Linked DNA regions of Canis lupus familiaris. The protein of the gene in region 1 interacts with the protein of each later gene in a biochemical or structural test. Links are inferred from orthologs where the notes say so. Each region holds a gene or a part of one and is shown on either strand. Other genes may lie near its edges.

Region 1 (3,816 bases):
AGAGTCCAGCAGACCTATAATTAAAATTGCATATGTAAGACAGGATACTGTATTTGTGCTAAGCAGATGATGTGTGGAAGTTATTATGTGGGTAGAAACAATTTAAAAAGAATAAATTGGTTTTATCGATTGGTAACAGGTCAAGAACATGGACTATTTGCCTTTCCTGCCCCCATCCCTTGTAAAAAAAAAAAATCAGGTGTTCTGTCTTTTTTGCTTTGTAGCGTGGTAGTATTCTGAACGATGTCTGCCCCATTCATCTGACATTAAATTCTTTGTCTTTTTTTCAGTTGTCCTTATTGGAGATTCTGGTGTTGGAAAGAGTAATCTCTTGTCTCGATTTACTCGAAATGAGTTTAATCTCGAAAGTAAGAGCACCATTGGAGTAGAGTTTGCAACAAGAAGCATCCAGGTTGATGGGAAAACAATAAAGGCACAGATATGGGACACGGCAGGGCAGGAGCGATACCGAGCTATAACATCAGCGTAAGTCTCATAGTTTTTAAATTCTGAGAAATAGACTGCCATCAACTGAATTAGCTAACTTTTGGTATTGGAAAAGGAACTTTTTTTTTCCTCTTAAGAAGTCCAGTATTAGGATTTTGAAATGTATTTATAAATGTGTTTTTAAAAATATATAATCTATATATTTAGTTCTTCTCAGTATTCCCTTCCATCTTACCATTGTTTTCTGACATTAAATACCTGTTTCTGTTTTCAGATATTATCGTGGAGCTGTAGGTGCCTTACTGGTTTATGACATTGCTAAGCATCTCACATATGAAAATGTAGAACGATGGCTGAAAGAACTGAGAGATCATGCTGATAGTAACATTGTTATCATGCTTGTGGGCAATAAGAGTGATTTGCGTCATCTCAGGGCAGTTCCTACAGATGAAGCAAGAGCTTTTGCAGGTTAGTGATATGAATTTCATGATATTACAGTGATTCTGTATTTTTAACTCTTATGTCTTACAGTTTTGATACTTTTCCAATGACCGTAATCGCTTACAGTAGTTTTAAAAAGGTAGACATGAATACTCAGCAAGGATTGTTCGGAAAGTTTGTGATGACTTTCTTGCTTAATTTTGAGTCATTAAAACATAGTATTTTGAGTTTTTGCTGCCAAGAGTTGAATATAAATCTTTCTTTCATTTCCTTGGAAGGGGTAGATGATATCTCTCAGTTTATTTTGTGCTTCCTGTCTCTTTCTCTGTTATGTCAGTATTTTACCAAGGCTGCTCTATGTGGGTCTGAAAGACAGTGGCCCAGGGAATGTCAACAACCAACTTTTTTGATTTAATAGAGGGTCTGCCTATAACTTCTGTTTGGAATAGCCTACTAGAAGGCAGCATTCTTGGCTAGTGAAAGTTGTGACTGTCTACTAGTGATTATGCTGTGAATAAAGGTTTTTACAATAGTTTTTTAGTTTTCCAGGCAAGACGCTTTATTTCAAATAATATAGTTAAAGAATTCTAAGCGGATAACACCTACTCATCCATGTTCATATCATAATTCTGTTGTTGATGGAGAAGGACAGTAATGGATGGAAATAACTGAGTATTTGATAAGTTTACTACATTTTGAATAACGTCATTCATTGGTAGTGTATAGATGTAACAAGTATTTTTTAATTAAGGAGGCAATGAAAATCTTTCACTGTTCTTTTTAATATGCTGAAGTGTAAATAGAATGATGCCCTTATTGCTCAAGAAATTGAGGAGGACTTAGGTTATTTTCCTTTTGAAGGCTAGAATGTATTATATCTCTTTCATAAAATTTGACAAGACTGAAGTTTTTATTTCCCTCCCCCCCCCCCCCCCCCCCCCCAGAAAAGAATGGTTTGTCATTCATTGAGACTTCCGCTCTAGACTCTACAAATGTAGAAGCTGCTTTTCAGACAATTCTGACAGGTAAGACTTGAATTTTTAGATTATGCTAGTGGGAATTGGAAGTTTGAAGAATGTAATTTAAACAAATTAGGAAACCTATATATCACACTGAGAATAACTATCATTTGAGAGCTGCTATAGCAAGAGCTGTTTAAAGTACAAAATTAGTTAACAATTCTTCCTTGCTGAGCTTTAATTATCCTAGTTTATTTGGTTTGTAATTAGGAAAAGTACTTTGAAAATAATTTGTTTACTTATATTATTGCTTCAGTCCAGTTATTCCATACTTTATGGTCACAAGTACAAAGTAATGGTTAAAGGCATTTTCATAAGATACTGAAATCCTGACTATGGGAAGATAGAAATGTCCTTTGAGATTTAGCAAAGAAAAGGCTTGCTTTGTTCTGATACATTATAGAAGCAGCTAGGGGAAAACCTATTTTTAAGAATTTAAATGAAAAAACAAAAAGTAAAACTCTCTTGTGATGTAAAAGAAGCAAGGTGTCATCTCTGGAGAAAATCTGTGAGTGATTGCATATGGAAAAGTTTAAATAGGGGATGCCTGGGTGGCTTAGTGGTTGAGGCCGTCCCTCATCGGGCTCTCTGCCTGCTTCTCCCTCTGCCTCTCTCTTTGTGTCTCTCATGAATAAATAAATAAAATCTTAAAAAAAAAAAAAGTTTAAATAAGTAGTGGAAAAAGAACAAAGTTCATGCTGTTTTAAAATTAGATGTGCAGATCAGGTCAATCTTGGATTTCAAGGCTGTATTCATGTTGACTCATATTTACTCTGACTTTATTTGAATGACCAACTTGTCAGCAAGTTTAATCTTAATTCTCTAGTAAGTAGTTTGATGGGTTGTATTAAAGTAGTTTAAAATTATTTTTAAGAACTCCTATTGTAAAGTGTAGGCTTACTATATACCATAGTCTGATACGACTTTCGAACAGGTCTGTATGGAGAAATGGTTAATAAGTTTCCAATTTTATTTATTTATTTATTTATTTAAAAGATTTTATTTATTCATGAGAGAGGCAGACACATAGGCAGAATGAGAAGCAGGCCCCTTGGGGAGAGCCCGATATGGGACTCAATCTTGGGACTCCAGGATCGCACCCTGAGCCCAAGGCTGATGCTCAACCACTGAGCTACCCAAGTGTCCCGTTTCCAATTTTAATATAACAAAATTTTAATGTATTCTTTGTATGTAGTACTTGCATTAGAGGTTAACAGATTTTAACTTTTATTTTTATTTAAAAATTTTTAAAATTTATTTATTTTTGTAGAGAGAGCAAGTACAAAGTAAGGGGGGCAGAGGGAGAAGGAGAGAATCTTAAGCAGTCTCCCAAGGAGTCAGATATTTAACCAGCTGAGCACAAAGGTGCCCTGATTTTTTTATTTTTAATTTTCCCAAGTTTTTATTTAAATTCCAGTTAGTTAACATACAATGTAATAGTAGTTTCAGGTGTAGAATTTAGTGATCTACAAATTTTAACTTTTAAACATCATAGTTCAGACTTGAAATATGTAGAGAATAAAGCCTAGAATTTAAGAGCATGGTCCTGGAACCCTGATTTGTGTTTTAGTCCTGGCTCCTTCAGTTACCATTGGCTCTGTAATCTTAAGCAAATTACCTAACTTTTCTAGGTCTTAAATTCTTTATCTGTAAAATTTAAATATGTTAAATTAAAATCAACATTAAATTAAAAATAAATAGTTTTGTGCTTTTTTAAGAGGGCTTATATTTATAAATACCTTGTGGTATGATTTGACTTAACTGTTATGTTGTGACTCAAAGGTTTTTATCTCTGTAACTCACAGAAAAGAGTTGCCTGTTATTTGAGACATCTACTCTAGACTCCAAAAATGAATTCATGAGTTCATACACGTAAAAAATGCTTAACTTATACCTAGTACAGAGTGGA
Region 2 (3,816 bases), on another chromosome or scaffold:
TTCTCAGCCTGTACCAAGTAATTGCTCACGCTTGGGTCACTCCACAGACCAATTCTGATCCCTGGGGGTGGGGCGTGGGCATCTGCAGAGGCCACACCTTTGGTGTGTATTCTTACTGCTTTTGCTTGTTTCTGGCCCCTGAGTGCTGAGGCTGGCCTTGGGGCTGCCTTGCCCAGAGTCTCCTTAGCCCCTCTGTCGTGGGGTACTGGGTCGCTGCTGAGTCTCTGACCTGCCTCTCCTGTTCCCTCCAGCTCATGGAAGCCCTAAAGGAACAGGAGGAGATCAACTTCCGGCTGAGGCAGTACATGGACAAGATTATCCTGGCCATCCTGGACCACAACCCCTCCATCCTTGAGATCAAACACTGAGATAAGGGCTGGCTGCGGCACGGCCTCAGGGACCCTCAGACCCCCAGACCTGCCTGAGGATGCGGCCCCAGCCGGGCCTCACACACACACCGGAAATGTATCTCTGGCCACCCTGTCCTGTGTGCCGGTGTGTATGCGGGGAAGCCGTGCACACAGCAAGGGCTGAACGTGGGGCCGTGGCCGTGGAGGACCTCTGTGCGGTCGCTATCCGTGCATTCTGTGGTTCCTGCGCAAGGACAGACAGTACTGGTGGTGGGAAGGACAGGGTCTGCTATCAGGAGCTGCTGTGATCACGAGAACTGGAAGATTGTGTTTCAGATACTGGATAAAAATGATTCTACCTCTGGGGATAAGGATTAAATCACACGCTAGTGAGACAGGCTCTTTCACCCCACCGCTGTTCCCTCTGGGAGTGGGAGCAGATTGATGATTTTTTCTAGGAGCTGGAATGCCCAACAGCTGCATCCTCCCCAACCTCTTCGGCCACCTCTGAAGCCTAGGTGCTCAGGCTCTGAAAGGAGGAAGGGGCCCTCCCAGAGCCCCTCCCAGGCTGGCAGCCCCCCGTGATGCTTGTGCTCTGTGTGTCCAAAGGACTCGGGCCTACAGAGGAGCTGGCGTGGGGCGACCTTCGTTCTAAGGGTTCTTGGCATTTTGAGAGTTCCCCATACACTTCCCCATCCCTACTTCACCTACCTCTTTCTGTTTGATTTTTAAGACCGTGAAAAATAAGCAGCACTTCACTTGGGTGTACGATGAAGGGATTAAAAGGAAGGAGACAGGCTGGGGGCCAAGGGTGTCTCAAGCAGCACGTATTGGCATTGGGCATCCAAAGACTTGCTTTTCAGGGAGGAGCGTGCTCCCATCCCTGTTCCGTCTCCTTCCCTCTGGCTGCATTTTCCCAGGAGCCCGCAGGTACTGGTGGGCTGGGAGTGGGCCCTGCTTTCCAACTCCCGTTCTCCACGTGGCCTGGGGACAGCAGGCCTCAGCCTAGGATTTTTGGATTCTGAGCTCTGGGCTTGGCTCAGCTGGATAGCAAGGTCCCCGCGTTCCAGCACCGTTCAAAAACACTCTTGCATTCCGATCTCTGCCAGGAGAGGGGTGCTGGCGAGAGACACAGTTGGGGTCAGACATTTTAGGGAAACCTTAGTCTTCCATCCTCCTGACATGTGCTGGAAAGGCACACTCTGGATTTTTAATGTGATCTTTTGTTCTAGGCAGCTGGGAGTAGATATGGTACTTTGAGTTTTACTTTGAGTTTGTCTCAGTTGTATATGGCTTGTCGTTCATTTCTTTAGTCCAAACATGTATGAACTACGTGTAGATAAATATGAATGGTCTTATATCTCCCCCCCACCCCCGCTGCAGTTTCGTGTTGTCTTCAGCAACTCTAGTGTAAAAAGGAAGGTTTAGGCATGTTGGGGAGGGGCATGGAAGGGTGTGCACAGAGAAGAGAGGACAGGAGAGGGTGAGAAGGGGCTTGGGGTCTTGGGTATGTATGTACCCTGTTCACAAAGGTAGGGATTGGCCAGGACCGATCTTCGTTCCATTCCACTCAACCTCTGCTTTTGTTGGCTTGTGTGATTTCTGCTTAAGCATATGTTTGGGATTTGTTCCATGCTACAGATAATGGGGCTGCCTTGGTCTGATCCAGGACTTTGGGGCCACCTACCCCAGGAAGACTAGGGCAAGGGATCAGTCTTCTAAGAGTCTCTCAAGCCCCTAGGATGCTGGTCCCCTTGGGCTCTTCCAGGGGTCTGAGGAGCAGCAGTAGAAAGAAGGCCAAGAGGAGTGGATTTCTTGAGAATATGCTAATAGTAGAGAATGGTACCGAATTGAAGGGAAAGAAGGACCTATCATGACTTGGCTTTGGTCTGGATTTTACTTTGGAAGGAGTCCTACAGAGGCCAGCCAGATCAAGGTCCTCAAGGTCCATGGGGGACTCGCCCCAGGGGTGAACATTTTATACATAAAACTTTATATGTCCTTTAGCTGCACTGGTATGGAATTCCAGAGAAGGTCCCAGAGGCCTGGGTTACACAGTCCCTATGTGGGAGGGAGTTTCTGCTTTGTTGCGGAAAAGGTGGGCTGACAATGTTTTGCTGCCTCCTTCCTGAAGGGGGCACCACAGGACCAGCCTCCCCCAGGAAGCCGGCATCTGAACCGCCCCAAGGGGACCTGGTGCTGTGCATGGGATCTCTGGAAGACCGCCGACTTTAAAATGAGGCCTGGGTTACATGGACTTTGTCTCAAGTTAAATCCAACTTTCTGGAGCCAAAATCATCTTCTAAAACCTAGGCTAACTGGCTTTTAAAGTGTCTTTAGCTGCCCTTCCATGCAGGAAAACAAGCCCCAACGGAGGCACATGGCCCCAGGGCCCCAGCCCCATGGCCCCAGCGCCCCAGCCCCATGGCCCCAGCAGGGGTTCCAGAGCGCCCTAACTGGGGGCAGGTGGGGCCGACCCCTCCCCCCCCCAGTGCTTCCCCCTCCTCTGCATGTTGTCCACGTGAAAGTTCTGCACTTGCCCCTCGGCCCGGGAGCCGCTGGGTTGGACACACGACGCCCAGCTCCCTGTGCATTCCGGCAAACGGAAGCCAACTCCCAGTAGAAGTTACGTTCCACGCAATGCTTGGGACACGCTCAAAATGGGGAGATTTTAAAATTCTGCCACCTGGGCCAAATCCCCAGAGGTTCTGATGCCAGTGGTGTGGGGGTGCGGCCCAGGTATTTGGAAAGGTTAAAGAGCTTCCCAGGTGATTATAATTTAACTGGGTGCCTGGGTAGGGGGGATGCGCTTTGTGTTTTGTTTTTGCTGAACCTGGCAACTCTACCAAGTAGGGATTCGTAGTGACTCTTCCGAGGTTTAGGGGGGTTTCGGGGGCACAGGAAGGGGGGTTCTGCAACAGACCCAATGTCTTACACAGCACTCGGCCATCCTTACATCCAACTGGAAGGCAGAGAAAATTTGCAGAATCAGTGAGTGAGCTTTGGTCAAGTCAGACAAATTATTTTTTGAGTTTTTCCCTTGTCAGAGGGAGATTGCTTTATTTTGACTTTATTTCTGACTTACTGCAAACCTCTTACAGAGCCCAAGAACCTCCCAAAGCACTTGGACCTGAAACAGTGGTTTTCAGCTTGGGCTGTGCATCGGGATAACCTGGGGAGGCTTGGGAACTGTGCTGACTGGGCCGAACCGCTGGCTGCCCGGCCCCAAGATTCCAATTTAATCAATGTGGGGGTAGCCCAGGCATCCAGATGTTCAGAGAGCTCCCCGGGTCATGCTGATGTGTAGCCCAAGGTTGAGACTGGAAGGTTGCTAGTCAGGGGTAGAGGAAATGGGTGGAACTGCCTGTCTGATTTGTAACCGAGGTTCTACCTTAACGGTGGGGTGTCAGTGGCTTTGAAGGGTAGTGAGAAGTGGGTGGATCCCTCACCCCGGATGGGAGGCCAG

What was found.
Region 2: the proteins of RAB11A (region 1) and RAB11FIP4 form a complex in vitro, tested with the Homo sapiens proteins (2 studies listed by BioGRID, with this or other methods). The link is inferred for Canis lupus familiaris from reciprocal best matches to the Homo sapiens genes RAB11A and RAB11FIP4.

The regions. Positions count from the first base shown.
Region 1 is NC_049251.1:30,631,036-30,634,851, forward strand, and holds part of RAB11A (ras-related protein Rab-11A), read left to right. Parts: intron 1-290; coding exon 291-486; intron 487-721; coding exon 722-915; intron 916-1,832; coding exon 1,833-1,913; intron 1,914-3,816. UniProt on the Homo sapiens protein: The small GTPases Rab are key regulators of intracellular membrane trafficking, from the formation of transport vesicles to their fusion with membranes.
Region 2 is NC_049230.1:41,314,111-41,317,926, reverse strand, and holds part of RAB11FIP4 (rab11 family-interacting protein 4), read left to right. Parts: intron 1-251; coding exon 252-368; 3' UTR 369-3,816. UniProt on the Homo sapiens protein: Acts as a regulator of endocytic traffic by participating in membrane delivery. Required for the abscission step in cytokinesis, possibly by acting as an 'address tag' delivering recycling endosome membranes to the cleavage furrow during late cytokinesis.